Nothobranchius furzeri: one gene and its partners. The protein of the gene in region 3 purifies or fractionates together with the protein of the main gene of each other region. This does not show direct contact. Links are inferred from orthologs where the notes say so. Each region holds a gene or a part of one and is shown on either strand. Other genes may lie near its edges.

Region 1 (5,318 bases), on a different chromosome or scaffold from region 3:
CATGACTGAGACACGTCTACATTCACATAAAGGCCGTTAAACTCCAAATGAAAGTCTGTTAAACAGCTTCTGAGGATCCTGCTTTAATCCCGCCCACCTGACGGTTTCTGATGGACACGAGATGTGTGTGTCCACGGGCCAGAACCATCAAACCAACCCAGAGGTGCGGCTATGCCTGCATCAGTCACCGAGGATTAGATGGGAGAAGAAAAACATCCCATAAATGAACTAAATAGATGTTTAGATAAGAAATGCACCCTTCAGTCCAGATGAGGCCTCTTGTTGCAGCTCATGTGCTCCAGCGCTCCTGGACACACTGGGCTGGACAAGACCAGCAAGCCTAGCTTAGTCCAGCCCAAGTCCTCTTAACGTCTTCATCACTACCAGTGGTTCATTTGGTTTAAACTGAAACTCAAACAGCCCTTGATGTTAAAACTTAACTCTTTAGGTTTCATACCAAAGTCTCAACACTCTCACAGGCGGAGCTGTGGCGACGGGAGTCGAGCGGCCTGGGCTCGTACCAAACTCGCAGCAGACAAACAAAATCACAAAGGATCTCGTCTCCATCGAGACAAAAGGTGAAAAAGAACCAGCAGCCGTTCTAAAGCCCTCAGTCCAGGCACACATATGGCAGGATGTTCAGTCTGCTTTCGTCTCCATGAGGGTCCAGTGATATACACGCTGTCCAATCATACCAGGCTCCCTTGGTGTCGTAACAACCGTTCACCCCCTGCCAGGTCTGTGTGTGTATTCTGTCCAGGTCCTCATCCGTCACCTCCCGACTCACACCTGGTAAATCTCCTGTTAAATGGTCCGTCTGCAAAACGTGTGTTTTATTTGAGTCTTTAGTCTCCCTTTCTTCCCTTTTTAGATATTCTGACATGAAGAAGTGTGCGCTAGGGGCCTGGACCCCCGAGGAGGTGAGCACGTTGCTCTGAAGGTTCAAGTAGGATTGGATTATTTCATTTCTAGTCAGCTCCTTCCAGTTGGTCTGGTGGAAGGGGTTTGAGCTGGGACCTGGGGCGGGGGCTGCACAAGGGGGCTGTTGGACAACGACTTCAGTTCTCTGCCTGGACTCTCCCAGGTCCGGAGTGGGGGGGTCCTCTGTTGGAGAAAGTTCTTTATGCACCAGAGGTTTGATCTGACCAGTGACCGGGTCAAATGTCAGTCTGCGTTCTTTTAACCGCACAGGTTTAGTCGTGTCCTCTAGTTTCAGGCCATCCAAGTTAACGGAGTAGTCTCTAGGCCTGTACTTCCTCCTTTTATGCTCAGAGTTAAGGACTGGCCCATCAGGGTCATCAGACACACTTAAGCTTCTTTCAACCACCAACCTGTGGACCTCTGAGTTCTGCGGGGGAGGCGGGGGGGAGGGGGAATCCAGTGTTGCAGATAGATCTTGGGGAGAGCAATGAGAGAATACCTCTGATGAATTAGCAGAGGGCACTGAAGACCGAAGAGAAGAAAGTTTTTCACTGTGAGACACCGGTGCTGGGGAGGACAGAGGCTGGGAGAAGAACAGGGGGGAGTCTCTAGAAGATGGGCTGGGGACCGGCGTTCCCTTTGCTACGTACGCTGAACGCTTAGAAACGGGGTCTTGCTTTAGGCTCCTGGGACTGGAAGTGAGACTGCGGGGACTCCTCGCTGGGTAATAGCCCCCGCCCCCTTCTTCCAGTTTAGCTTGCTGTTGCATCACAGCAACTTTAATCAACGAGGAAGTGCTAGGTGCTTTGGCCATGCCAGGGGAGCTGGGACGGGGCTTGACAGCATTAACTGGAATTCTGTTTCCTTTGTCATTTTCAAGGTGGTCTGTCCGAGGCCTGTCAGGAGAAGGAACGACCTCCTGGTCGGCCAACGCATCGGCACCACCAGCAGTCCCGTTGGTGGGTGGCGGAGAAACAGAGTCATCAAACGCCGACAACCTGGAGATTTTTTCTGTTACGTACACGCCACTGTCTCTGTGCTCTGCCCGCCGCTTGCGGTTACTTGACTTCTCAGCCTTAGGCGAGTATGTGTTGTGAGCATCACTTCGGATTGTGACTTCTGTGACCGCTTTCCCCGATACAGAAATGTCAGGGGGAGAGGGATCGGTTTTGCAGGGATGGGAACTGCCATTGGTAGACCCCGGGACACTTGCTGAAACAGCCGGCCCAGGTTCAATCAGTTTTTGCCAGTTTCTCAGGAGTTTCTTTGCACGCCTTGCAAGGTCTTCATCCTTGGTTTTCCTCCTTACATCATTAATCAGTTTTCCAAGTCGAGTTTCCTGAAAATAAATAATTAAAAAGTGAAAACTATTTTGGCACCACAGCCTCTGTAGGCATTAACCGCCTATGACACGTTCATTCTTACCTCAAGTGCTTCTTTGGTAATCGGATACTTCTCAAGACAAGCGATCACTTCCAATACAACCACCATGTTGCATATCTGCAACAAGGACATGCCAGCAGTTAGTAACCCCCAGCTTCTACTGGTGGCAGTAATATTTAGATTTACAGCTGTAGTCTGTGGATGAAAATGTAATCACACTGGACAATCCCACCCAATCACATTCCCACAGTAACAGGAACTCCAGAGATCTGGACTAACTGCTCCCTGACTCCGGGGTGGAAAACAACATGTTCATCGGGAGAAACTCAGCTGGATGTTTAGCTCCAGAAACCGAACGATGTTGCAAAGCTGATGTGGCACAGAGACACTCAAAAATACCTGGAATCATCTCAGCAAAGGTTTATGAACTTGGAGCAAACCGAGCATCTTGTCGACAGCGTCAGCCCTAGCCCGAGTCGGTGGACCTGCCTGTGTTAGCTAGTCAGGGTAGTTAGCATTTAACTTACTTTAGAAGGAAGGAGCATTTCCTCAACGCTATTCCAGCCACTTGGTTCCCTAAACTTTGTGATTGTTTAAATAAAACATTTTCACTAAAACTGTGCTGTTTGGGATAACTTAAACTTTTCTTTAGATGAGATGATTTCGTAAAACAACGACTGGATTGCTCCTTTATACCAAATCTGCTTTGGTGTTAAGCTACGTTAGCAGCTAACAGGCTACATAACGGCAGATATCCGTCCAATCAACGCAGCGCTGCTGCTAAATTAGCTGGCATGCTAGCTGTCAACTCGCCCCGAGCCTTTTTGTCACCGAGACATCCGACGTGTCGAGGCCGAGCGCACCTTTCAGCGTAGTTTGTATAAACAGCGACGTGCCACCCGAACAGCTGCGTGGATGTTGATAGGCAAACAAGCTAGCGTTAGCTTTAGCATTGCTCACATTGCTCTGACTGTCAATGGCCTGCAGCAGCCGGTCCTTCATCTGCTGCGGGGTTGCTGAGACCGTTGTCATTGCCTGTTCGGTGCGATCCAGGAGATGGAGGGAGGAATCCTCCAAAACGAAAGCCGGGTGACTCAGAAGCCGCTTCGGGAACACGTCGGGCGCCCGAGCAGCATGCTTTCTGTCGCATGTAGGTCTGAGTTGATCTCACATGGAGTCGGAAATATGTGAGCGGAGCGGAGTCGCTGCTGCCTCGGACCTCCTCTCACTACCAACTGCTGGATGCCTCAACGGCCTCCTGCTGCATGCTGGGATACGATGTGTCTACGTCATCACGTTCGTACGTAACCAAGTAAACATCCCGACCACAGTGACGTTTTTAAATATAAACTTTGTGAGTTGTTTTTCAGTAAATATTTGATTGACCGATTTTATATGAAACGTTTAAATTAAATTAAATTCAAGTTTATTTATGCAGCAACTTGGTGGACTGAATGACGGACTGACAGTTATGAAAAACCTGTTTATTACAGATGATACATGTTTGTGATTATAAAAATAACAGATCTAAGACAGATGCTAAAGCACATTGTGATTTCCTACGGACCTGTGAAAAGGACAGCTTTTGAGAGCTTCTGGCTCATGCTGTCACACTGAAAGCTACGAGTGGCTAATCTTGCAAGGTGGTGCATCCTCAGCTTAAAGAACAGGGAGACAACAGATGTCAACAGTGTACGGGAGTGACACTCAGTTCCGTACGGTGTCTCACTGATGAGCTCCCCGAGCAAAAACACATCCTCTGACCCGATCCTCTTGTGCACGATGTAGATGACCTCCAGTGGTTTGATGGGCTGTGATCGTCTGCCCACTGATGCCTGGCGAATTGCCCACTCTGCTGCTCTGATGACCCTCACAGCACCTTCAGATGGGACCACAAGACCCCGTTGTTCTGCAGAGACAGCAAATGTAGCTCTGGTCATCACAGGCAGATGCAGCATCATCACCAGGCTGGCACGGCAGACATCACAGGACAGCTTGGTCATGGCTCGCCGCACAACAAATCCTGAAATTACAATTACTAATGTAACTGGACAGTGTGCTTGTCTTCATACTTTACATAAGCCTATAGAACAACACGGTGTCAGGTGAGAAATCAGACAAGAACTACAGTTTGTCTACCTAAAGTAATCATGATTAGTAAGTGTGGCATTAATTCCTTGTATTTATTAATCAGGGGGATTTGATGAGCCAGCAGTTTTTCTAAAGACTACAAACATCTTTTGTGTTTTTCTTCTGACCGCTTTTTTAGGTTCTTTTTGAAACACGGGGAAGGTTTTTTACCTGCTGACACTTTTGATTGTGTCTGCGATCTTCCTCAGAGCTGACCCCACTGAGCGTTTTTTTTACACTATCTGAATGAATAATAGTTCAAAAGCAAAGCAGATGACAGAGACTTATCAGCCTAACACAGTTGAATGTTTGTTATTGTTAAATCGTATGAATGACACGTTGCCGTGACTGAAGACATCGTCTATTAGAGCATCCATAAGAAGCACAAAAGTCAGGCATGCTTGTTGTGTTTCACGCGTATTTCGTGTCCCATTGATCATTTTTCCTTGACCACAAAAACAAATCATGACATTCCAATTAGATGACGTCAGCACATCTGTTGCACGTACGTTGATGAAGCCGTATGGAGTTGTGAGAGCAAGCATTGCTGGAATCCGAGTGTTCACTCGTATTTGTTCGTAGCGAAAGATTCATGGTAGTTTTGAGGGATTTTTTGGCTGCTGCAGGCCCCCGTACTTGTTACCTGGTCACACAGGTGGGTGGGCTCAGCCCATCTCGCCACACAAACAGGAAAAAAGACACCTGAAACTGTATGAAGCATGACGGCTAAATATGGGAATTCATCTTAATTATTACAGATGTGACCGGCTACTGCTAGCTTGCTTTTGTGTCATTAGACCAAGAGGGGAACTCCACCTGGCAAAAGTGAACCCTACTTGAAATGAACAAAAGTTGCATATGCCGGTTTCTGCTGCAGAGATTCC
Region 2 (4,821 bases), on a different chromosome or scaffold from region 3:
CATATAAATGTCAGTATAAACTTGAAAACTGTTAGGTTAAGGACTTTTTGTGATACATGAACGTTATTTTAGTTAGAAATGTTACAGTAAAAGTGCTTGTATTGCGGTCTCGGCTCATATGTTCGGCCGCGCTCGGTGTCGTACTTCTCCCGCTACGTTTTCCCCCTGATTTTAATAGAAGTTTGTATTTTAGGAACAAAAGAGAAAACCAGGGAATTTATTAAGCTTAGGGCGGAGATGGACCACATGATCACCGGAGCAAAGTATTCGGCGGCTGTGGCATGGAGGTACAATAACATCTCATATTTTAAAAACTCGTTTGAGTTTATTTTTTCTGCGAAAACAAGAAAGGAATAACCCGTTGTCCTCTTTTCTCTTCCTGTTTCTTTTCTTACATGTTTGTTAAGACTATTCTGGAGAAAATGGGCATCCAGGGGAAGGTGCCAGCGATGACCAGCTTCTGGAGCTGATCAGGGAGGACATGAGGCTGCAGATGGAGGCAGAGCAGCAGAGGGCACAGGAGAGAAGGGAGAACTTTGACAACTTTTTACTTTGCTAGAAAAAAATGGTTAATAAAGATTAAACATGTACATATAAAAGAAATATCTAAATAAAATCAGTTCTGCATTAAACTCTTGAATTTTATTTTTGTTTACAAATGAGAATTGTTCAATATTACCGGGTATCCGCTGGGTCTTAAAGTCTTAAAAGGTGATAAATTGGTTTTGGTCAAATTAAGACCCTTAGAAAGTATTAAAAACTATTATCACATCTTTGCTCAGGCTCAGCTTGTCTAAAGTATTTTCTCTGAATTAGCTCTCCAACAGTCAAGGAAATGATTAACCCCCAGAGACCCACGGTTGTAATATTACAACATCAGATTTAAGTCTACAAGAATAAACCTTCCCCATTTTTTTTCTTTTTTAAAACTACATTTACATTGCTAATAGGTCCTATTGTTCAGTTCTGCAACACTATTGGCTGTTAAAATGTGTAAATAGGCCCGTTTATCTGGCCTCCTAGAACAACATGTGAAAGGTTAAAAAAAGATTTTGCAGTTGTTTTCTAAATTTGGGTTTCTGGGGGTTAAAAAGCTAAATAAAACGTCGAGCTCCATCGTTTAAAGTTCCTTCTCCCTTCTGCCCAGCGGTTCCACGGTTGCTAGGCGACGGAACGTTCGCGGAGGGAGTTCATGAAGGCTAGGCCTGTCCAAATTCACAGCCGTTAACATCCGGTCTACCCGGCCGACGGAGGACCCAGCCCACGTCGGCCGAGTGGGCTGGGTCCTTCGAAGGATGCAGACCCTGAATTGAGACACAGCCGTTGTTGATTCCTGGATGCTAAAACAACAGCCTTCGCCGTCGCAAGCCAAGATTGGATCTGTCAGTGTTTTTAAATCCTAAGGTTTTACCAGCTATTTTCTGTCAGAAGCTAATGCAGGAGATACCGTAAGCAGCTGGAATCAGCTTCCTCAATAGGGCGGCCATGTTTGGCCTTCAGTGAGAAGCTGAGGAATGTTAGAGCCGCTGCTCCTCCTGATCAAATGGAGTAATCAGAGATGGTTCGGGCGTCTGACCAGTAACCGGACTCTGGAGGTTTGCCAGACACAACGACTTTTTAACAAAAATAAAACTGATTGTTTTTGTGGAGCCGAGTAAAACTGACTGAAAATATATCAAATTAACTCAAAATAATTCTACTTTAATACTATTTACCTTTTATCAGCATTTTGCCTCTCATCCTAGAGGTTTCTTCAGTTCCCATACTTTGGTTGTGGTCAGAAACAAAAACACTGATCAGCAGAAGCTCCGGAGGGGGAGCGGGTTGTCCAGCAATCGGAAAGTTGCTGGTTCAATCCCGGCTCCGACCAAATAATGCTGCTGTTGTGTCCTTGGGCTAGACACTTAACCCTCCTCGCCTGCTGGTGGTGGTCAGAGGGGCCAGTGGTGCCAGTGTTCGAAGGTCTCGCCTTGGTCAGTGCGCCCCAGCGCAGCTGTGGCTACACTGTAGCTAATCACCACCACCAGCGTGTGAATGGATGAATGACTGATTGTGTTGTGAAGCACTTTGGGGGGTTGTTGAGCCCCAAGAAGGCGGTATACAAATACAAATTGACCATTTCCTTCTTTCTTGCTGGCTTTTGTCTAAACGAAGGTGATGTTATTGTTCATAGAGTTAAAATTCATGTTGAAGTTCAGATTATTTCATCAATAAGATGTGTGGTTAGCTCGCTCATTTAATACATGAAATGTTTTTGGATCCTGCCTCTTGAAAGAACCGTAATCGTGAACGGATAGTAACCGGAATCGAAACAAGGAACTGGAATCGGAATCGTTCAAATATCCATGAGTAAAGATTTGGTCCTTTTTTCAATAAACTAGGTTAATTTAAAGAGAAAATCCCAACAGTAACTTAAAATGGTCTTGTTTTGATAATAAATAATCGATAATTATTTTGGATAATTAAAAATCTCCAGTTTGTTTAACAGAATTAAAACCTTGCTGCATCATCCTACTGTGAACTGTTCATAATATTATAATAATTATGAATTGCTTAGCCTTACGTGACTTCCTTATGTAATTTACCATCAGCAGTATATTCTGGCTTCCTCTTAAATGCTTTGTTAGAACAGAGTGCAACAGACTGAGACCGGGATCTAATCTCAGATTAAAAATCTCTGAGCGAGAAAAGCTTTCAAACAAACTGTGACCATGCTCTGAAGACCTGACCTCCACGGTCCCACAGAGCTGCTGCAGAGGGAGCTTTAGATGACCACAAAAACAATCGCACACGCCATTAAAGCAGCATCCCAGTGGCTATAACTCCACAGCACAGCCAAACCGCCTCAGACTAGTCGAGACGAGCTTCTCAGCCAACAGACAGTAGTTCTTAATGAAAGCTGCAGACTGAAGAGCTGCTGCAGCGACGACGGCGCTCTCCTTCTGATCCGTCTGGTGCATCGCATTCTCGGCTATTAGATTTGCCTTGATTCAGCTCTTCAATAAGCTCTGTGTGCAATAAAAGTGACAAATGCAAGTTCTGTCCATGTGTTTTAAACAAATGTGTCACAGCGGCGAAAGTTATTTACTTTCTTCCGTTCCATCCGTCGATAACAGCTCGTTATCTCACTGGCTGGGCTTTAAATGTTCCAGGCTGGACTGAAACTAAACATGAGTAATGAATTAGACTGATTTTAACTTAATGAAAATTACAGCTGCAGTAAAGGAGCTGCGGTGGACTGGCTCTCTATCCAGGGTGTACCCCCCCCCCCCCCCCCCCCCCCCCCCCCGCGCGACCCTACGTAGACAAAGCAGGTTCAGACAATGGATGGATGCAGTAACAGAGTTTTTATTTGTGTTTTTGCTTCCTACCAGCTTTAGCTTCTCTTTCTTTCTTTTCCCAGGGGCCGACCCCGAGGAGCTGGGGCCAGACTCCTGACCGACCGTGTTACCGTCATCGTCCCCTTCGTCCTCGTCGCCGTCGTCAAAGCACCACTCGGGCAGTTCAGGTGCAGGGGGTGTGTCCTCCACATCACCATAGCGACAGAAAAGCTCTTTGAGGTAGTCCCCCTTATAGATCCCAGGGGCCCGTGCCTGGGCGAAAGCAGCTACAGCTGCCTCCACGCTGATAAGGAAAGGCAGAACAGAGAGGAACATTTACTGTAGACAAAAGAAATACTGACATCATATGTTTGGTGGTTTTAGCTGGGACATGCCTAATAATAATAAAAATTAACTAATCCAAATTAAATATAGAAATTTCTTCATTTCCTTTATGCTTTTATATTTTGCTGAAGGCTCTGGATCATTGTCGGTCAACACCTCACAATTAACTCTTTTATTTGACTCATTGGGAGTCAGGTATTTTCTTACGACTGCTCATCATTTTGAAGTTGTTTGAGAGTAAAATAAGATTTCCAATCTCAGTCATCCGCCAAGAAGGGCTTTAACATGCAGCTGAATCATAAAATCATATTAAAGTGTACGTTTGTGAATATTTTAATGGATCAAACCAGACGAGATTCTTTACCTTTTGTTTGAAACGGTCTGCTAGTGTGCTGTAAAATAATCCTGCATTAGCTATGCTCCTCATCACCTGTTTAGGTCTGACGGTGTCCCATCTGTTGCACCGATCTCCACCGCATCGACGACATTTCAACTATAATATCCTTTTGAAAATGAAATGTGCTTTCCTTACGGAAAATAAAAGCATGTTTGCCATGTGCCTGAGCCACGGCTGTTGTGGACAAGCTAATCCTGGAAGCCGTTAGGGAATTACTGCAACATAGTTAGGGCAATAATACTTACAGAAGATCATTTTACGGCAAAAAGCAAAAATGACAAAGCAGAAGGCTTTCCTAAAAAATAAATAAATAAAGATGTGTTCTCTCCGACTGAACGGCTTCACCACAAACTGAAGTCACCATCTGGTCGGTTCATCTGACTGGTTCATGCTGGACTGACAGACGACAGCAGACTCATCGTGTCAGCAGTCAACGTCTTCTCTCTTCCTTTAGCCAGCGGCTTCCAAACACGACCTTCTGTGCAGCCAAACATCTGGTGCATCAGGTTTGCCCCTGCTATTTCTCTAACGGATATCATTTTGTTTTTGCAGCCTGAGGACGGAGTGCTTCATCTGAACACAGCTCTTTAAACCACATGCTCTCTGTGAAAATGCTTCTACATGCAGATGACACGCTTAAACTTCAGGGACCAGATGCAGAAAACGAATCATTTCTACAGAATGGTGAAGACTTTAAAGGGGTCCTAGAACTCTAAACTACATTTACCTTGTTGTTGTTGAACATAGGCAGCTTGAGGT
Region 3 (5,280 bases):
CTGACGGTATCAACAAATTCAGCAGACGTGCTGGATTGTGTTGTGTTCGGTTCCGTCAGTCCTGTTGGTAACGGTCTTCCTGGCGTGAGATTTGTTAAATCCTTCATTGTCTCTTGAGAACACGTTTGACCTTTTAGCTGTAGATAATCTATAAAAAAAAACAAATGTCTATATTTCTATTTTTAAAGCTTAAACACTTTAATCTAGTGATGCGGCAATACTGATATTAATATCACTGTTGTGGCCGACAATCAATATGGGCCGATATCAATATACAGACAATAATGTGTCTAAAATCAGCAGATTTTGTGTAGAATGAAAATTATTAAAGTTGAATTTTCGTTACAAACACCACACACCTTTACGTTTCTGAGATGATTACAATGACTGTCACATGACAGAACAAATACCCCCCCCCCCAAAAAAAAAAGATAAGCAAATGGAAAAATATAAGTTGTTAATATCGGCCCAATTTTAAGCTTGATTTATGCTTGACACGTCCGCGAGGTTCGCGTGGCTAAATTGCGTCATTTTAACAACCACGCCCCTCCACCCGGCCCAAACTTTCTGCACCGCGCACCCAGGAAAATTTCTAACCACGCGGACGGTCGGACGCGGAAAAACATGGCGGACCGGCAAGAACTAGTATGGCAGAGGTTCATAAATACAGACATTTGTATGATTCAGCTCTCAGAGGTCACCGTGATCAACATGTTAATAATTCTTGGACAGAAATAGCTCACACTGTCGGAAAAGACGAGGACGCTGTTAAAAAATGCTGGAATGCCATGTTGTAAACAACATGAGTTTTTACTTCTATGGTGTAGTGTTGGATGCATGCCGTAGAGCTCCATGCTGCCCCCTACAGTTTGGGAGAATATTGGCTCACCGCAGAGACGAGCCGCATGAACCATAAACGCTGCGAGTTGTGAAGCGCGTTCCATCCGCGAGCCGCATCACCAAGCGGAAAGTAAATGCGTCAAGCATAAACCAAGCTTTAGTCATCGGACCGATACCGATATGTCAAAAATCACTAACATCGGCTGTTACGATATATTGTGCATCCCTGCTTTAATCGGCTACAGCCGTAGTCGGGTTTTTCTCCATATTTTAATAATGTTACACGTTATGCTTCCTGGTTGGTGATGGTGGTGGCAGCGTTGACCTCACACACACACACGATGGAAGCTCTTTAACTCACACCCACCTCACTGGTTTTATTTTTCTGTTTTGCACAACAAAATACAACATAGATCAATCTGCACCACTGCATTAGCTGTGCTGGCTCAATGTCATAAAAAACACAAAGGCTAAGATTAAACTCCTTATGCGATCTCTACATCAATCAAAATAAGGGTCCTGGATGTGCAGTGTCACTCTAAACTGTGAAGGTGTGATGAAAGGTGTTTTTTTTTTACTTTGGAAGCTAATCGTGAACCACTGGATACTTTCATCCTATTTTCAGGGCAATAGAAATCCAGACAAGACAAGCTGAAGCACCAAGTTTGCTCTGGGGTCTCAGGGGGTGCCGTGCAGCTATGTTTGGTTCTGTTTGTCTGGGACTCACTCAGGTTAACACTTGTCTGATGGTTCTGGTATGTGTCTCTTTAGGGGTACCGGTCTCAGCCTGCGTCAGGCTTACAAACTGGTTCTGGAGAGCCGGCCATTCATCCGACCCAACGCCGGGTTCTGGAGGCAGCTGATGAACTACGAGAAGCTCCTGTTTACCAGGAACACGATGCAGATGGTGAGGACATCTGCTGGGGTTTTGCCTGAAGTAATACAAGAGCCAGAGGAGACGGGTGCTGCAGTGTACTGCGTCAATGTGTGACAAGGCGCTGACGGGACAGAACCTGGTCCAACAGGAAACAACATGGAAGCAGATGTTCCTCTGTTGGTTTCATCCAGCTCTTCTGTCCATCTAGTATGGATTGGTGTCAGGAACTTGAAGGAGTAAAAACCAACATGAAACAAACAAACAAAAACAAAAAAAGGGCAGAAATTATCGCAGAGCACGGCGGGTCGGTTCTGGTCTTAGTACTGGAAGCTCCTCTTTGTCTGGATGTCGTCCAGGATTTGCTGCAGCTCCTCGTCCTCAAACCGACCCTCCACACTGGAAACAGATTCAATCCCAACTTTATTCAGACAGAAACTTCAGTTCTCTACACAGATCCTGGTCTTTGACCCGGTCCACATGTATGTGGGCTGAACTGAACCAGAACCGGTTCCATCTGTAGTGCTTTACTATGAAGCTGTGTAGAGCTAGCACGCGACCGGGTTTAAGTACAAATCCCAGAATGAATGGGAACAAGCTTGTTCCATGTTTAGAACTTCCTGTTGCTCAGAGCAGGATGCGTGTTCACAAGCTTTAAACCCAGCTGTTCAAAGAAAACACTTTCAAAAGATAAATAACAACACATTAACCCTAAAATTAACTACAGAGATAACATTCTCAGATCCTAATATAAATATGGTTACCAACATCAATTAGAGTCTCAAAAAAGTGTTTTTGCCATATTGCTTGAAATGCTCTTCACCTACTAATAAATTAAACGTTTTAGACAGAAAATGTAATCGTTTTATTCGCCTCTGAAACGGAAAATCCTGGAAACACCTAAATTATCTGGTCCTTGAGCAGATAATTCAGTGGGTCCCCAGGTGGGTTACCTGACTCACCTGGGGATCAGGGCTTTGGCCTCCTCTGCAGCTTCAGGACACAGATTGGCCAGACTAGCCAACTCAAACTTGTGCAGCTTCTTCTGCAGCAGGAGACTGGAGGAGAAATGGTGGATTTGTCACAACCAGAAGGTGGTCAGAAAATCAGTGGAAGCAAGAAAGGCGAACCTGCGCACGGCAGTAATGGTCTCCCGGTTCTTGAAGCGGCTGAAGCGGGCCGTGTAGTTGAGGGTCTTCATGAAGACCTCGGACAGCTCCTGCTCATCCTCGGCGCTCTCGTTCTGCTGCTTCCTGTGTTCCAGCAGCATGTGGACCTCGGAGTTCAGCAGGGTCTCAGCGTTCTCGAACTCTGGACCAGAAATTAAAACAGCTGATCTCTATACTACTTCCTTTTTATATTCACACACACACACACACACACACACACACACACACACACACACACACACACACACACACACACACACACACACACACACACACACACACACACACACGTTTCTGGTGTATCAAACACAGGTCTGCGGTGGCGGTAGTCGTCACCTTTGGGAAACAACAGTTGTGACGCATCTTCTTCTACGTCTCCGAGCTGCGGAGGAGCCGTGCTTCCGGCCGCCATAACGGGCCACGACTCGTTCCGGAGTTCCGTTGAGTCTCGGTACCGTGAGCTGGACACACGTGGTAAGAATTTTAAGAAGAGAACCCGCGCTGTTTCGTTCAGTCACACAAAAACACACCGGTACTTCCGCCTAGCTGCTGCTGTTTCCGCTACTTCCGCCCGTGATCTCCGTTCGCCCCCTGCTGACCGGAGGTCCAGGGTCCTGCTACGGTCAAAGACGAGACGATCAACAAAACTACTTAAAACCAATTAAATACAATTAATTAGAAAAGCAGTAATTAGGGTAGCATGAAGTTCTCCACCAGGTAGACTGTTACTCAAGCTGGGCTTTAGCTCAGATCAACTGCTTATAAATGATCATGTCACTGAGAAAAGCTTTAAAGATGGGGAAGCAGTTTTAGGAAATCCGCATTCATAATAATGAATAAATTCATAATAATAACGGTTAACAGCAAAAGAGGTTAATATGGGATCTTTCACAGATTTCAGCTTATAGGTGACATATTACCAATGATTTTCTGATAACTGTTTGATGTTTTATCTCTGTTATTCCAAATTACTATAATGAGACGTTGTCCCTTCCTCCGTAATTTAGACTGCGTATTTGCACCCTGTGCTGTTTTGCAGGATATTTCTGTAACAGAAAAGAAATTACTGCAAAATGGACTTGCGTTGGCCGGGAATCGAACCCGGGTCAACTGCTTGGAAGGCAGCTATGCTAACCACTATACCACCAACACTTGATGTTCATCACAAGAAATTCCTATTAAAACATTGACAATGTTCAATTTGGTTTACCGATTGTGTCATTTAACTGATCGTTACATCTGGTTGCATTTTTCCAGCTACTGTCCAGCTGCTCTAGACTAAATCAACTTACGGTTAGTTTCGAACGGGAAGGATGAATATGTCAACACTGAAGTCTAATGGCAGAAGTTTGCTTTCGATTCGTTATTCGGTTACTGATTTTACCTGAATGTCATAACCGTGTTCAACTGTCATCAGAGGCGGACCGAACACCGGCCTCACTTGGGTCGACGGCACAATATATACATATATATACATATATATATACACATATATACATATTACTTATTATATTCTATAGGATTATAATAAAGTAATTAATATTTTGATTTCACAGATCGGTCACATCATATTTATTGACTAACACTTTGTTGGATTAGCTTTATTAAAATAGAGTTCTTTGATTAATTAAAAGAAAATAGTCCATTCTTCATTCTTCTGTTGAGCTGAAAATAAGCAGGTTAGAAGCAAATGCATGAGACCTTGAGACCATATCTCATGCAGACTGGTCCTGTGTCAGAGGAGACGGGGAAACAGTCATTTCATTCTGTCACATAAAAATTCACTATTTAACTTTCATTCGTTTTTTTATTAATATTTAGTCTAAACAAACTAACAGCGTGTCCAGCAACATATTAATGTTACAATTAAACAATTTAATTTAAGGTAGGAACATTTTACCTGCTGCTGGCCTGTGACACAGACGCGCTCCGAGCCGTTCTCACAGCTCCTCAGGGAGCTGATAGAGAGCTGCGCTGATGATGTCCAGGTCTGAGATAATGCTCAGATGTTCTGATGGGAATCTTTTCTTGATAGATCTTCCGCAATGATCTCTGTGCGTGATGTTTAAAATGTCTACTCACCCGTATGCGTCTGGTGATTTTAGCCAGAATGACCAGCAGCCTTGAGATTTTTCTGTCAAAATAAACGGTCAAACACGGAGAATGTCCAGTTAACGCGACCCCTGCCCATATTTGACTTTTTTGTCTTTTTTGTAAAGATAGCACGGAAGCCCTTCACACAACAGGAGTCTACCATTTTCTGCAGGTTTATGAGCTCACAGCACAAAGTGGCCAGTGCTTACTTTTTTATACACTTAGCTATCCTATCATGCAACACGCTACAGCACCCGATAGATCACCAGACAAGGACCGATACGAGCTGCCGTAGTGGCCGGC
Region 4 (5,565 bases), on a different chromosome or scaffold from region 3:
ATATGTCAGCATCAATATCGGTATCAGTCGATGCTAGTCATTTTTAAGCATATCGTATCGGTTTGATAAATAAAACTGGGCCGATATTAACAACCAATATTTTTTCCATCTCATCTCCATTTGTTTGCCTGTTTCGGGGGGGGGGGGGGGTAATTGTTTAGTCATGTGAACAGTGCACGGTTTCCCCCAGAAAATGAGTTAAGCCTGGTCGCACGCTCCGTCCTGCAGCGCTCCTCCGTGAGAGCGGGAGTCGGGGGGGGGGGGGGGGGGGGGGGTTTGCACACGTTCCGCTGCTGTTTCTCACCAGTATCAGCTGATGGAGGACTCTAGTTTTGTTGCGCCGTTCGTGTCAGCGGACACGGTAGGGTCTGGGAGGGGGGCGGGCATGGCGCCTAGCCTGGCGGGTGGCCAAGCAAAGCCTGGCGGGCCACCAGGCTTATAAAGCGCTGGGTGAAACCCTGCAGTGAATTAAATCATCTCAGAGGAGTAAATGTGTGTGGGGTGTACATAATAACGTAAATTCAGCTTTAATAATTTTCATTCTTTACAAAATCTGTTGATTTTAGAAGCATAAACTCATTCGCTGCCAGCTGTTTCCTGATCGCCAACGGCCTTCGCTGCCAGCGTTTCTCACCGTTTTTACAGTTTTTTTAAGAGTCACAGAACGTTGTGCGCTAGGATGATGTCGACGCCAAAACAACCAAAACTAAGAGTAGACTCGCCTCTTACATCAGGAAGAATCCGCGTGTTTTGAGCGTTATCCATTCTTTCATAATCCGTTATCGAATTGTGATCGGCAGACGCTTTTCCGGTTCGCGCCTCACTTTTTTACAGGAACGGCCCAAAACGATCTCCTAATACATGGATGTTCTGCTTCCTGATCACATGACGTGTGACGTATGCAGATGAAGATCGGCGTCAGGGCTGAGATGTTTGTTCTCTCAGCACGGGGGCTCGTTCCGAAGCTCAAACTAAAAAAATGCAAATGACGACTTTAGTCGTCAATGGCAGTGAATGAGTTTATGTCAGTATATCGGTATCGGCAAATATCGGTTGTCGGCTATAACAGTGATCTTAATATCGGTATCGGCCCTAAAATTTCATAGCGGCGCCGGTGCATCACTACTTCTCTTCATCTAGTTTACTGCAACTTGTTTATGACTGTGTTACAGTGAATCTGCAAGAAGAAACTATTTGACTCATTAACTGCCACTGACGACAAAAGTGGTCATTTGCATTTTTTTACTGTGTGGGCGTCGGATCGAGTTCCTGCACCGTGAGAACAAACATCCCAGCTCTAAAGCCGATCTTCATCCATGTACATTATATGTCACGTGATCAGGAAGCAGAAAACCCATGTGATAGGAGATCGTTTTGGGCCGCTGTTGTAAAAAAAAGTGAGCGAACCAGAAAAGTTTTTGCCGATCACAATTCGACAACGGATTATGAAAGAACGGATAACGCTAGAAACACGCGGATTCTTCCTGATGTAAGAGGTGAGTCTACTCTTTCTTCTGGTAGTGTTGGTGTTGACATCATCATAGAGCTCTATGTTCTGTGACTCTTAAAAAATAAACAGTGAAAACGCTGAAAAACGTTGGCAGCGAAGGGCTTTTCTGATCAGAAAATGACTGGCCGTTAAGGAGTTAAAAAGATGAAAGAAAATACATTTATTTGATGTTGATATTGATAGTGTCACTAACTTAAAAGTGACATTTCAAGACTCTTAACTCATCATCATTGCAACCCAGCTCTCACAGCTGATGCACATTCATTCATCCATCCGTTGTCTTCCACGTACCCGGAGACGGGTCGTGGGGGCAGTAACCTAAGCAGAAATGCCCAGAATTCCCTCTCCCCAGCCACTTGGGCCAGCTCTTCCAGGGGAATTCTAGGGCGTTCCCTGGCCAGCCGACAGACAATAGTCCCTCCAACGTGTCCTGGGTCTTCCTTTGAGTCTCTTCCCGGTTGGACGTGGCCAGAAAACCTCACCAGGGAGGCGTCCAGGAGGCATCCTGACCAGATGCCCGAGCCACATCAATTGGTTCCTCTCGATGTGGAGGAGCAGCAGGTCTACTCCAAGCCCCTCCCGGATGACCGAGCTTCTCACCTAGGGAGAGCCCAGCCACTCTGCAGAGAAAACTAAATTTGGCCGCTTGTATCTGCAACTTCACTCTTTCGGTCACTACCAAAAGCTTGTGACCACAAATGAGGATTGGAAAGTAGATCGACCGGTAAATCAAGAGCTTACTCAAAAACAAAACATGGATACTGATACTACTTGTACGTCCTGAATAATATACCGCATGGATGGAGTTATTTTCTATGCTTTCTCTTCCATGTTTGATGTAAACATTGGAAGAATTGAAAAGCATCTGCTTATTAATACGTTTGTTAAAATCTGCTTGAAATATGTGACTCCAGCTCATCCTACAACAGCTTTAACTTCATTCAGGGCTATGATCGGACAAGGATCCTGTTGTTATATCTCACCTTTTTTGAGTTCTCGGTGCCAGACTTTGACGATGAGAGCCGAGTGTTTGCGGTGGTGGATGATCCACAGAGACAGAGTCTGGACGCTCTGCTGAGAGCTGCTCAGCTCCGACAGCTTCTTCTCCAAAGCAGATTCCGAAAAGGACGACATGCCAACTGGTTCTAGAGTGTCTAATTCCACTAAAACTGACCCCCACTGGCTCTAAAGCAACCGAGCTCCGAGCTATTTTGGAGAAACTCGCCCAGTCATCAAAACTCAAGTTGTGTCGCTAAACTCGTAGACTTACAGCATTGGACAGCTTTCTACTGCCGGTTACAGATATATATATCTAACGGTAGGAAAGCACTTAAGGAACTAAAGAGCTAACCAATACTTGCTGAAGATGCTTCAATAGCGTAGCTGCTGAATCTTTGTTGAATGCTGTTTGTTTACAGCGATTGCTAACGTTAGCTAGGCGAGCTAAGCAGCCATCTGCAGAACAGTGCAGCCCTGGAGCTCCTCTTCTCTTAACTACGTAAAACAAACACAAAAATCCACAATATTCCTTTTTGAGGTGTTCCAAGCGATGATGTATAAAAGACAATAGCAAAAAATAATTTAAAAAACAACTCACAAACTAAGTTTCTCGCCCTAAATCATGAAAAAAATGCCTCGAAAAATGGCAGCTTGCACTTTCACCTCGACATGTGCGTCGCAGAGAAATGACGTGACAGAACCCGCGCATTATCGAACTGGCAAAACAAAGGCAAAATACACTGTAAAATACTCTAAACACAAAATTGCAAACTCTTATGAACACACAACTCTTTTTACAGAGTTGAATACGTTTCTAATCATTCTATATTTGTTTGCTCACCCAATTTATTTGGCTTAAAACATAATTAAAATTGTATTCATGTAAAGTGTTTACCAAAATGGCTGTCTGGACTTTTTAATTGACTTTTTATGAAGGAGGAGGGCTGTTAATTTCCCACCAGTGGCGAAAAGCTGGAACTGCACACTGCACAAGTATTCTGTTATCAATTTAGAAAAGGAGATGGGGGATTTGGCGCTTCCTAGTGGCATAATGCTGGTGCTGCACTCTTGTTCTGTTAACTATTGAGAATAATGGGGAGATTGAGATTTGGCGCCCCAAGTGGCAACTAACGTAAACTACACCATTGTTCTGTTAACATTTTAGGTTCATGTGTGATGATGCAGTCATTACAATTGCCACATTAGTAAATTAAAATAAATTTAGTACATTTTAAAAATAAAACTTGACTTGCATTGTCAGAAAAATAATAGTAAAAACACAATTCCTGCAACTCTGTAAGCAAACGATTCCATTAGATTTGGTCTTTTAGTCCACTTTAAATCATTAAATAAAATTAATAATTAGATAATCGCTTGTAGCTTGTGTGTATAATAATTTGTCAGTTGCTCACAATGAAAGAAAATGACTGTAAAACATAAACTACAAATCTAGCATACACTGAACTACATGCATTTATTATAACTTGCCTTGTGAAAGAGACAAATGTAATCCAAGTTTGGATGCTCTTCTTGCAGTTTAAGTACATCTTAATAAATAATTTTCTAAATGGCAGCATCACCTTTTTACAAAGCTGCTGTTTGTCTTACCTCGGCTGCTTTTGGTTTCCCAGCTGAACAAACAGTAACTGTGTGTTTATCTTACCAATCACCAGACATTTGTTCTGACGGAAACCAAAACTCAAATTTTAGCCCAGATCTTTGAGTTAAAACAAACTAATTTTCATGATCATTTGCCTTCTTTTTACTGTGGCTGATAAAATACACACTATTCCATTCAAAACAATGGGTTTGGGATCTGCACACATGGACCTTCAGTCAAATATCAGTGCAAAAGATGTGTATTATCATTTGAGGTTCAAATATCAACCAAAATGCAAACCATGGTGCACCTGTACAGATTTTTTTTCAATAGGCAGCAAACTAGATGGAAAACAAATGTAGTTTTCATCTGGAGTGAGATCTCTGTTATAACCAAAAAAATCAACAAGACCAAAACAAATCAGATCCAGAACTAAGCTCATTGTTTACAGTAAATTGAGTTCAGTTGTGACTGCAATTAAATAAAAAAGATGATAAAATTCCAGTCAGTCATGTTTACCTAATATATATATATATATATATATATATATATATATATATATATATATATATATATATATATATACATACATATTTTTTTCTTCATAAAAGAGCAAGTCACCCCCTACACAAAAAAACTTACTCTACTTCCACTTCATGTTTGAAAAATGCAACAAATGCTGTTGCCTGGCAGACCGAGAGGGCGGAGCCGCTAACAAATACACACAAACAGGCTCACAACAGCATAGTGACATCATAATATACCAGCTAATGTCATTGCGTACCTCTTAGCCAATAGCGATGGCAGATTGAAATTCAAATGTAGCGCAGAGTTTTTACCTCATGGCGGTGCAACACTGACAGTTTTAGACAGAATATTTAAATTTTAACTAAGATGCACTAACGTGCCAAAATATTGACTACACATGTCTGCAGCACAACTAGACACTCATTTATATAGTTTATCAGCAAAAAAGGTAGATTTGGGGGCGACTTGCTCTTTAAGGTCCTTGAACTCTAGTCTTTCCCCCAGGCTCAATAGAGGAACAACATTAATCAGGATCACAGGGAAACACAAACTCCTTTACTACAAATTGCAAATCATCAAAGGTGATGTTTCTTTTTGTTGCCACAATTTTTTTTATAATTTATTCTTAGTTTTTTCTAACTATTTCAATGATTTTTCAAGTCATGGTGCAAAAACTATTTACCTCAAAGTGAAACTGATTTTGCAGCATTTCAGACCCTGATGCAGTTTGTCATGAAGAATCTTCTTTTACCTCCAGAAGTTTCTCTGAACTGATCCTGGGATAGATTTCTTTTCAGTGTCCTCTTCTTCTACAAGAAATCTGTTTAATGCCAACTTTTTGATTCCAGCGTGTCCATTAACTCAAACGCCACGCCTGTTAACGGAAAGTCGAACTTGTTTTCTGTTTCAAACCCCAGCAGCTCAGAAA
Region 5 (4,821 bases), on a different chromosome or scaffold from region 3:
GTGGTTTTGTAGCTTTCTCTTCAGCACAGCCGACAAAGGTTTATGATGGGTCAGTCCTCCTGCATGCTCAGATCATTCCCTTCCCTTGCTTGAAAAATTGTTCCCAAATGAAAGTTGAACCCACATCTTTTTTATCTGTGAATTCAATGCCGTTCGGCGAGTCTCAAATAAAAATTTGGGCATCTTACTGTAAAAAAAATATACCATTAATGTAGTAAAAAATAATCTATGTTCACATCCGGAATCAAACCCGGGTCTTCTGCACGAGAGTTCAACATCTCACTAGGTGAGCTAGAGCACCAGTGACGTCCCTTGTATCTGTAACATTTATGTCCTTGATGACAGCTGAAACAACGTCAAACCAAAGAACGGTTCGGAGTGAAAATGGCTGTTTTGTTGCTAATTAGCAGGAAATATCTAGAAGAAAGTTCTACAGAAAGTAGCTAAGGGTCCTCAGAAATGTAGCTAGCTTTGTCACTAGGCGTTAGGAACAGCGACAAAGTGGCACTGCCTCTCTCTCTGCTGCTAAAGCTACGGATAGCAAATGCTACGGGCGATGCCTGAGCGTGAACGCGCATGAAGCAGCCTGCTCGACCCGAGCATCTCTCTTTTTCTGTGATTTTACAGAAAAACAGGCAATCACAGTAAAAATGCCAGGGCTCATTCTACAGGACCAGGGCATTGCAGGAGAACGTATGAAGAAGACATTTATTATTTCTATACATGTTTTGGCTGTCACACTTCCATAATGCACCTTTAACTAACATCTATTGGTGAGCGTCCTATTCACCACACTTTACTGGTCAGACCAACCCACGAGGAATCTGGTGTTCTGGCTGTGTCCTGCAGACTCCTCCTGAAGTGCTCCAGCATGTAGATTTAAAGACTCATCACGTTTTTATCCTGCGAGCAGCTCTATAGCGCCTTCTAGAGTCCTGGAACCCCCCAAGGCCCTTTACAACACAATCAGTCATTCACCTATTCACACCCTGGTGGTGATGAGCTACGATGTAGCTACAGCTGCCCTGTTAGGGTTAGGGGTTTGTCCACGTTGTTCTACGTGGGGGTTTCCACCCAGCTGGTGCCAGAGCCGATGCTGTGCAGGTTCTAAGCTGGTTCTTTTAAAGAATCGGTTCCCATCCCACAGACTGAGGACTTAGTTGCTGCTGTCATGATGTCGACCAAGTCTTAGGTGAGTTCTTGCTGTGTCGTATTTGCGGCTGCCGCAAACGAAACGTAGCGCAGGTAACAAAACTGTTCTGTGTTTTAAAAGAACTACAGCATGGAATGTCGACCAAGTGTTGAGACACACCCACATATACGCCTGCATGAGGACAGAGCACGTCTTTCTTGACTTCTGATTAACAACGTGTAACAAGAAATCTATAGAAACTCCATAAATAACTCAGAATAGAGTATAATCCCTCCGAGGGGAGATGTTAGCATAACGACAGCCATTAATTCTATTCAGTTTATTTTAATAGAGCCAAGGCTCTTCACACAATAAACATCCCAATCCAGGTCAGGTCGTTAAGCCAATCAGTAACAAGTTTCCTGTCTGAGGAACCCAGCAGGTCGCATCGAGTCACTGACTAGTGTCAGAGTCTTTACAGCAATCCTCATACTAAACAAGCATGCAGCGACAGTGGAGAGGAAAACTCCCTTTTAACAGGACTCCAGAGGATCCTGGCTCAGTATAAGCAGCCATCCTCCACGACTCATGACTCATTTCTGCTCCTTCAGCTCCACAAGGGAGAGGCACTGACAGACGTTTTGCATTCGTGCCGCCCCGTCCGCTGGGGATTGGTGCAAAACAACTCCCCGCCAGCACAACAGAGGGCAAAGCGCTGCGCTGAGCTTTGCTTCCACCATTTCAGTCACGTATCCGGTCCAAGATGGCGTATCTACTACTGTGTTTACATTGTTTTAATGTTTTTCTGAGACTTTTAACAAATTAGTCCCCCATACGCTTCTTTATGCGATCGGCACCTCTAAACTCGCGTATCTCGTCATTTCTGTCCACGAATAAACGTTCATATTTTCACACTTCCTCCACTACGGATTCTTCAATTTGTTCCGTGTCTGCCGCTAAATATCTTCTCACTTTTTGAGGGAGCCCAAGTCACGTCCATCTACGTCCGGACCCGGGGTCGCCGGCAGAATGAAAGAATGAATGCAAGAAAACGCTGTTTTCTAACTGCCTGTTTTGTGCCGTGGATTTCACACATGATGTCCGTGAATTTTAAAGATGCAGTTTGACACCAAGAAAGAGCTTATTTTCAAACGGGGCCAGCTCTGGGCCAGATCCGAGTGTGCTGAGTTTGGTACTTGCATTATTTATTAATGCTTCATCGGACTACAGACCTTCAGTGCAACAGTTATTGTGTAGAGGATCACAGCGTAGGGAGACAGTTCATCCACATAGATCTTAGGCTCGTTGTTCCTGAATGTAGATGTTTGAGTTTTATAGACTTGGGCTTTTGTTTGCAGAAGCTCATTTTACATCTCTGATGAGTGTTTGAAGAGGACTCACTCACAACCGTGAACTATAAACACCAGCTGGTGGTGCTAAACAGCTGATGTTTATCATTGAAGACGGTGGCTGAGGTAGCTCTAGGTGCTGCTCTGAACCAGCAGCAGGACGATGGAAGACGCCGGAGGATTTTGTCTTTACATTAATAATCAGAGTAAAGGTGAATCGATGGGTGTTTCTCACTGTCAAGGGACCTTGCCTTGATGTCTTGGCCCCGCCCCGGTTGCCTAGGAGATACGTCATCAGGAGCCGCCAAGACATGTTCCAGTCGGTTCCAATGTTCATGTTCTACCGAGGCGTTTGTTAGCCGTTTAGCTAGCTGAGCAAGGACACACGGGAGGTGTCTTGTAGCCTAGCCTTGGTCAAAAATTACCCAGAATACACCGCCATATTTTCTAAAGGACGGCGGATCAGCAGCCGGCAGCTACTTCAGGGACAATTTTCAAGTTTAAAAGTAAGTCAGCTCATTTAAAATGTTTTTCCTTTTAGATCCAAAGAAGTTATCTATGGTTGGTTAGTTGCTTAGTAGTTGCAGCTTCGGTGGCTAGCGGGTAGTAACTCACTTATATGTTTAATTTAATAAACATATACACAATTTAAAAACTCGTTATATATTTATATTGAAACTATTACGTATAAAATATAACGTTATCTCCCGTGTCACGTGACTCTACGTGACCGCCGTGGAAGCCGCGGTCACGAGATGCAAGTCTGTTCCATTTAACCGTTTTCTTTGACCAAGGAAGGACCGTGTCCTCGTGAGCAAGGCGCCTGGCATTGAGAAACACCCTAGCTTAGAGGTTCTAAATGCTTTCATTGGTCGTTGGTCTCCCTGACCCCGCCCCCAGCTTCTGAAACATGTTCGATAAATAAAATGATAATGAGAACAAACATGAATTATGTTTAGTTATAAACAATGGTGTGTGTGGGTGTGTGTGTGTGTGTGTGTGTGTGTGTGTGTGTGTGTGTGTGTGTGTGTGTGTGTGTGTGGGTTTGCGTGCGTGTGTGTGTGTGGGTGTGGGTGTGGGTGTGTGTGTGGACACCCCCCCTTCCCCCTCCCCAGTGGGCGCTATGGTGAGGAGGTGATGCTGTTGGAGAGGAGCCTCAGAGAAGACGACATCGAGAACCCACAAGCTTCTCCTCTTGAGGACCGTCCCGGCTCCCAGCAGATACCTTCAGGAGGTGACCACGGCGACGGCAGTGAGCAGGAGTTTGTCTCCAGTGTGCTCTCCCAGCAGCAGAGACCCAGGGTGCACTGGGGTGACCCCCCTAAGCCCTCAGATGAAGGAGAGCTAAGGAGGAAGCTGAGGAGAGGACTTCAAAGTGAACGTTCCAGGGAAACGGGAAACTCAAAAGAGGAAGAAGAACCAGAAGAAGAGGATGAAAGAAAAGAGCCAGCTGCTGAAGAACTAGACACTTCAGATTCTGGTTCGTCTCTTTGTGAGGATCAACATTTACCCAAGGACCGAGGTGTGAAAGAGGCCAGAGGCAGGGTGAAAGGGTGTAGTTTATCAGAGATGGTCGCTTCCACCAGCTCTCTGTCAGAACACACACCTTCACACACCTCTCCTCCTCCTCCTCCTACAGGAACAGAAACCCCAGCAGAAACCAAACATGGCCACCACAATGCAGCTTCATCAAACCAACCGGGTCTCAGCATCACCCAGGTGGGCGTGAGCAGGAGAGGAGCGGTCGGGCTGAGAGATCTGCTGAAGAACCACACTGGAGAACCTGACTCTGTTCCACTGAGTCTTCTCAAGTATCTGAAGAGAACGCTGAAGGAGTGGTGCACCGAGGAGACGCTCAAGTTCCTGTACGGTGCTGGTCATTCACTGGTCTCCACTTCCTCTAGTGAAGAGGTAGAACAGGAGGAGTTAGATGAAGATGATCTTGAGGATGAGGACGACGTGATGGTGGCTGAACAGAAGAGGCCCTCGGCTCCTGTACCCGACTGTAAGACTCTCCAGAAGGAGACTGAGCAGCTGGAGTTCAGAGTTCGAGAGTTTTACAGAGGGAGGTGGATTCATCTGGAGAAGGAAGAGGAGGAGAACAGGAACGAGGTGAGGAGGAGAAGGGTTGGTGTGTTTCCTGGTAGTCCACTACACGACTCACTGTTAGGATGATGACCAAAACTCAGTTGGCCTCAGGTTAGCATGTAGGTAATGTCCCGCTGATCTCCAGCTGTGGAGAACGAGCTGATCAGAAAGGCCAGGGCTCCCGGTCATGTCATTTGGAATCATAGTATGTCCAAGGAAGGTCTTTGTTGTGATATGAAGTTTGTATATTTA
Region 6 (4,468 bases), on a different chromosome or scaffold from region 3:
ATCTTTCATATCTGTACCATTTATATCCTTGATGACAGCTGAAACAACGTTCAAAGAACGGTTCGGAGGGCGATGCCTGAGCGTGAACGCGCACGAAGCAGCCTGCTCGACCCGAGCAGCTCTCTTTTTCTGTGATTTTACAGAAAAACAGGCAATCACAGTAAAAATGCCAGGGCTCATTCTACAGGACCAGGGCATTGCAGGAGAATGTATGAAGAAGAAATTTATTATTTCTATAAATGTTTTGGCTGTCAAACTTCCATAATGCCCCTTTAAAGAAAGCCTTTCCCATTTCATGCTGCCAGCAATGGCTCCACATGGAAGAGAAATGTCATAAAATCTGAGAAAGGAAATAATGTATTTACACATAAAAGGTGAGGGCTACAAGATCAGCCAAGCTTTACATATCAGTCAGAATACTGTAGCAAAAGTGACCAAAAAATGTAAGACCAAAAAATGTAAGAAAGACGAAAGTGCAACCATCTTACAGAGACGTCCAGGCCGTCCATGGAAGTGAACATCTCAAAAGGAGCGTCTTCTGAAGACTGAAGAAAATCACCATTAAAGTTCACTGCAGTTAGTTAAAGCAGTAGAAAGCCAAACTGGAGTGACCGTTTCCCATGACACCATACAACGCACACTGCAGAGGAATGGCATACATGGGTATTGTCTACGAAGGAAGCCTCTCCTAAAGCTCATGCACAAAAAGCACACCTAGGATTTGCTAGGGCCCGTGCTGAAAGAGATGAAGACTACTGGCACTCTGTACTCTGGAGTGATGAGACAAAGATCACAGTTTGTGGAAGTAATGGTTTCAAAACTATGGCGTTGTAAAGGTGAGGATTTCAAAGAGAAATGCATGGTGCCTACAGTGAAACGTGGTGGTGGTGGCAGTGTCCTTATGTGGGGCTGCATGAGTGCTGCTGGTGTTGGGGAGCTGCATTTCATTGATGGCATCATGAACTCAACGATGTCCTGTTCTATACTGAAGGAGAAGATGCAGCCATCACTCCATGCACTTGATCATTGGAGGGGATAATGCAAAGAAGGATTCTCCAGAGAATCAAGAAAATGATGGACAACCCTGAGCATTCTCTTCACAAGACTGTCCGACAACGGAAGAGTGTCTTCAGTCAGAGGCTTCTTCAGTTTGGCTGCAACACTGACCGCTACTGGAGATCCTTCCTGCCAACAGCCATTGTAATATACAATAACTCTTTGATGACTTGATTATTATTATTATTCTGAGCTACTACAGCAATCAATTTCCCTCTGGTATTAATAAAGTATCTTTGAATTGAATTGAATTTGAATCATTGTGCACGTTTCCACCACGACAATGATCCAAAACGCATCTAAAGCTACTGTTGCATTTCTGAAGAAGAACAGGGTGAAGGTGATTGAATGGCCAAGTATGTCTCCTGATCTGAACACCTGTGGGGAATTCTGAAGGTTGAGCATCACTCTCCATCCAGCATCCAGATTATAAAACACGTTATTCTTGAAGAATGGAAAAAGATAGATGTTAATGTTTATGTTTATTTATTTAGCAGACGCTTTTATCCAAAGCGACTTACAATTTATAACCTATAGGGCATGTTGTGATCTGTGGGGGAAACCGGAGTACCCGGAGGAAACCCGAGCATGCATGGGGAGAACACGCAACTCCACGCAGAAATAGCGACAGTGCAACAACTGTGCCACCATGCAGCCCGATGTTGCAATATGTCACCATCTTGTTCATGCCATGCCTAGAAGACTTGATGTAGTAGTTTTTGTTGAGGGGTGTATTCCTTTTTGCTAAAACCAATTTTAGCAAAACTGAAGATTTTGTGATCCAAGTCATATTAATAGCCTTAATTTCATGTTATGGAGTTAAGCAAGTGTTTAATAAAACCCAGCCTTGTTAAAATTCTGGAAAATTTTTTTAGTTCATTGAGCTACTGATTAAATTTGTACTCTTCAAAGGGGGTGTACTCATTAATACTGAGAACTGGATGAAAAAACAAAACTGCTGTGCGACTTATGTCACAATGCTATTCCGAGTCAACATTTTAAATCTTTTTAATGCCCAGCTAGAAACTTAATTAGTGTTTAAAATTTTCTCACCTTCTTTTTTTTCTTGTCTTTCTTCTTTTTCTTGCGGTCAGGATCATCGTCCCTCTTTTTCTTCTTTTTCTTGGGATCAGAGTCTGACGGAGTTTCTAAAATCAGAACAGACGTGTCAGTGTGGTGAAAAACACGTAGCACTTGTTTCAGCTGACCTCACTAACACGCCACCAGACCTTGTGGGAGGGGGTCCTGTGGTCGATTGTGCTTGTGTTTGTGTTTGCTCTTCTTCTTTGGGGGCTGTATGTGCATCAGTCTGTACTGTTCTGGAAGCTGGAAAAAAAAAAAAACACTACATGTTACATAACGGGGATAAGATGATCATTTATTATCAGGCATAATCAGTGTTGTGGTACCGGTCCTGTATGTAGTCTGAATCCTGTGAGCAGAGCACCAGTCAGCGGGCTGAACGAGTTCCCACAAACGGGAGGCTTATCTATCAGAGAGCGCAGAGAGCTGCCGTCCTGAGTGCCCGGACAGTCGATCATACCTGCAACAAAAGAGACACTATAAAAGTGGAAATAAAGAGCGTGGCTGAAAGGGATCCGTGTAATTTACAGGCCATAGTGAGGAGTCCAGGTGAGATTAAAGAGGCTAAAAAAAAACAACAAATCAGAAACAATGAAAGTTAAACTTTTGGTTTTAGAGATACAGCCTCAGCCCTCAAAGTCTAATTCATTAGAGCGCCCAGAAGTCCCAGCACCTGTCAGAATGCAGGTTTAGATTAACTATAGCTTAAGCCACTGGAGTCAAACCCTGGCCCTCGAGAACTGACCTGCCAGTGCATATGTTGCCAATACTACAGATCCCAGAATGCTTTGCTGCATTATCAGCAGCATCCATGCTACCAGTCTCGAGGAGGGTACGGCTGCGGACCTGGAGACCACAGATTCGGTCTCAGACAAACAAAAAAATGACTGCTTAGTTAGCACCCAGCAATTTGCCAACTTTGAAGCCCAAATATCAAGATTTCAACAGCTCAGTAATCTATTTGTGGCCGACGTGAAAAGCGCAGAAAGCAACCTCCAAATGGAGCCAAATGAGCTCCGGTGTAGTAAAACGCTCAAATTTGACTCTGTGGCTTCTGCTCAGTTTCCATCTGATGTGTTTTATTTCAAAGTTAACTGCCCGTGTGTTGTTAATTTTAAACTTTGGTTATTCCAGAGTAACTATTAATGCAAGACTATGGTTTGTTTCCATATAAAACATTCAACAACACAAATCAGAAGATAAAGAAAATTTTAAGCATTTGCATCCATAAACATTTTCCCATGACTTTGTTCTAGTTTCTCCAGTTTGGCCCAGAGTGAATTTCAGTTTGACACCCCTGGCTTAAACGATGACAAATACAGGTAGAAAATCCTGAAAAAGTATAGTATTTTGTCACTTGTTTAAAAAAATTCATCTGACCTATTATGTAAATTAGGGATGCACGGATAACTTTTTTACCACAAGGAAGGGAAACCATAGAAAGTCATTGCTAAAGAAGCATGTCAGTTCCACTTTACTAAGTCCATCAGGGACCGGACAAGTTGCAAGTGTGATATTCTGGCCACAGGGGGCGGTGGGGGTCTGAGTGACATTTTTTTCACCCTAAGGGTCATTTTAGTACATACTGGCTAAAGAAAACGATGTAAAAATATGAAAAAGTTGCAGAGTAAGCCTCAAGTCCAGGTGTGGTGTTGATATCTAATGATTTGGGCTCCATGTCCTCTCCTGGTGTTGGTCCATTGTGTTTTCTGAAGTCCACAGTAAACTCAGAAATTTACCAGGTACAGCTGAGGAAATTAATCAATAATCGATGCATCAAGATGCAGACATTAATTACAAATCATTGAAAAGGCCCACCATGATAAATTATTGTATAATGCAGTTTTTTAACAGCAGCATAAATATTTGATTCTAAAGTTGCTCCAAAGACCTTCAAAGCTATTACATGGCCCCATAACAGATTTTGTCAACTATGGAAGGCAAGAATTGGACATGTCCTGTAGGTTTTCAGTATTTATTAAGATGTTGGTAGCATTTGCAGAGCTTGTTTTTCCCCACAGCCTGAGATGTAAGTGTTGAATGAGAAAACAGATTTTGTTTTCTTCGTTAAATCTTTTTAAATGTTTAAAATGTTTTGCACTCTTACATTGTTCTAAGGACTGTTGTGATTGAAGGGCTTCTTGGGGAATGACATGTTGCGTCAGACACGTTTTGATAGAAAAGCAAATATCTGACATCTTTTATTAATTGATGAAAGTAAACCCATAAGAAATAATCGTGATGCATTGAGATATCAAATTGAATCGTTGACAATCAGTTCAGTGGCCTAGTGGTTTGAGTGTCCACCCTGGGACTGGATCGGGAATCG

The links.
Region 1: the proteins of polr2d (region 3) and crsp7 purify together in Homo sapiens (affinity purification with mass spectrometry; 3 studies listed by BioGRID and IntAct, with this or other methods). This does not show direct contact. The link is inferred for Nothobranchius furzeri from reciprocal best matches to the Homo sapiens genes POLR2D and MED26.
Region 2: the proteins of polr2d (region 3) and rngtt purify together in Homo sapiens (affinity purification with mass spectrometry; 3 studies listed by BioGRID and IntAct, with this or other methods). This does not show direct contact. The link is inferred for Nothobranchius furzeri from reciprocal best matches to the Homo sapiens genes POLR2D and RNGTT.
Region 4: the proteins of polr2d (region 3) and rprd1b purify together in Homo sapiens (affinity purification with mass spectrometry; 3 studies listed by BioGRID and IntAct, counting the BioPlex papers as one, with this or other methods). This does not show direct contact. The link is inferred for Nothobranchius furzeri from reciprocal best matches to the Homo sapiens genes POLR2D and RPRD1B.
Region 5: the proteins of polr2d (region 3) and rpap2 purify together in Homo sapiens (affinity purification with mass spectrometry; 5 studies listed by BioGRID and IntAct, counting the BioPlex papers as one, with this or other methods). This does not show direct contact. The link is inferred for Nothobranchius furzeri from reciprocal best matches to the Homo sapiens genes POLR2D and RPAP2.
Region 6: the proteins of polr2d (region 3) and med19a purify together in Homo sapiens (affinity purification with mass spectrometry; 4 studies listed by BioGRID and IntAct, with this or other methods). This does not show direct contact. The link is inferred for Nothobranchius furzeri from reciprocal best matches to the Homo sapiens genes POLR2D and MED19.

What each region holds. Positions count from the first base shown.
Region 1 is NC_091751.1:71,980,515-71,985,832, reverse strand, and holds the start of crsp7 (mediator of RNA polymerase II transcription subunit 26), read right to left. Parts: upstream 3,545-5,318; 5' UTR 3,337-3,544; coding exon 3,265-3,336; exon of another isoform or gene 3,168-3,264; intron 2,422-3,167; coding exon 2,347-2,421; intron 2,261-2,346; coding exon 611-2,260; 3' UTR 1-610. UniProt on the Homo sapiens protein: Component of the Mediator complex, a coactivator involved in the regulated transcription of nearly all RNA polymerase II-dependent genes.
Region 2 is NC_091742.1:9,448,624-9,453,444, reverse strand, and holds part of rngtt (mRNA-capping enzyme), read right to left. Parts: intron 3,625-4,821; coding exon 3,372-3,624; intron 533-3,371; exon of another isoform or gene 408-532; intron 288-407; exon of another isoform or gene 194-287; intron 10-193; exon of another isoform or gene 1-9.
Region 3 is NC_091753.1:55,726,941-55,732,220, reverse strand, and holds polr2d (DNA-directed RNA polymerase II subunit RPB4), read right to left. Parts: upstream 3,475-5,280; 5' UTR 3,296-3,474; coding exon 3,220-3,295; intron 3,026-3,219; coding exon 2,845-3,025; intron 2,773-2,844; coding exon 2,677-2,772; intron 2,570-2,676; exon of another isoform or gene 2,114-2,569; coding exon 2,035-2,113; 3' UTR 1,832-2,034; coding exon of another isoform or gene 1,612-1,831; 3' UTR 1,192-1,611; downstream 1-1,191. Other genes in the region: dual specificity protein phosphatase 14, read left to right, coding at 1,612-1,831. UniProt on the Homo sapiens protein: Core component of RNA polymerase II (Pol II), a DNA-dependent RNA polymerase which synthesizes mRNA precursors and many functional non-coding RNAs using the four ribonucleoside triphosphates as substrates.
Region 4 is NC_091755.1:32,651,064-32,656,628, reverse strand, and holds the start of rprd1b (regulation of nuclear pre-mRNA domain-containing protein 1B), read right to left. Parts: upstream 3,300-5,565; 5' UTR 2,645-3,299; coding exon 2,494-2,644; intron 1-2,493. UniProt on the Homo sapiens protein: Interacts with phosphorylated C-terminal heptapeptide repeat domain (CTD) of the largest RNA polymerase II subunit POLR2A, and participates in dephosphorylation of the CTD by RPAP2. Transcriptional regulator which enhances expression of CCND1.
Region 5 is NC_091751.1:71,627,926-71,632,746, forward strand, and holds part of rpap2 (putative RNA polymerase II subunit B1 CTD phosphatase rpap2), read left to right. Parts: intron 1-3,596; coding exon 3,597-4,593; intron 4,594-4,821.
Region 6 is NC_091741.1:91,561,165-91,565,632, reverse strand, and holds part of med19a (mediator of RNA polymerase II transcription subunit 19-A), read right to left. Parts: intron 2,600-4,468; coding exon 2,466-2,599; intron 2,383-2,465; coding exon 2,286-2,382; intron 2,205-2,285; coding exon 2,110-2,204; intron 1-2,109. UniProt on the Homo sapiens protein: Component of the Mediator complex, a coactivator involved in the regulated transcription of nearly all RNA polymerase II-dependent genes.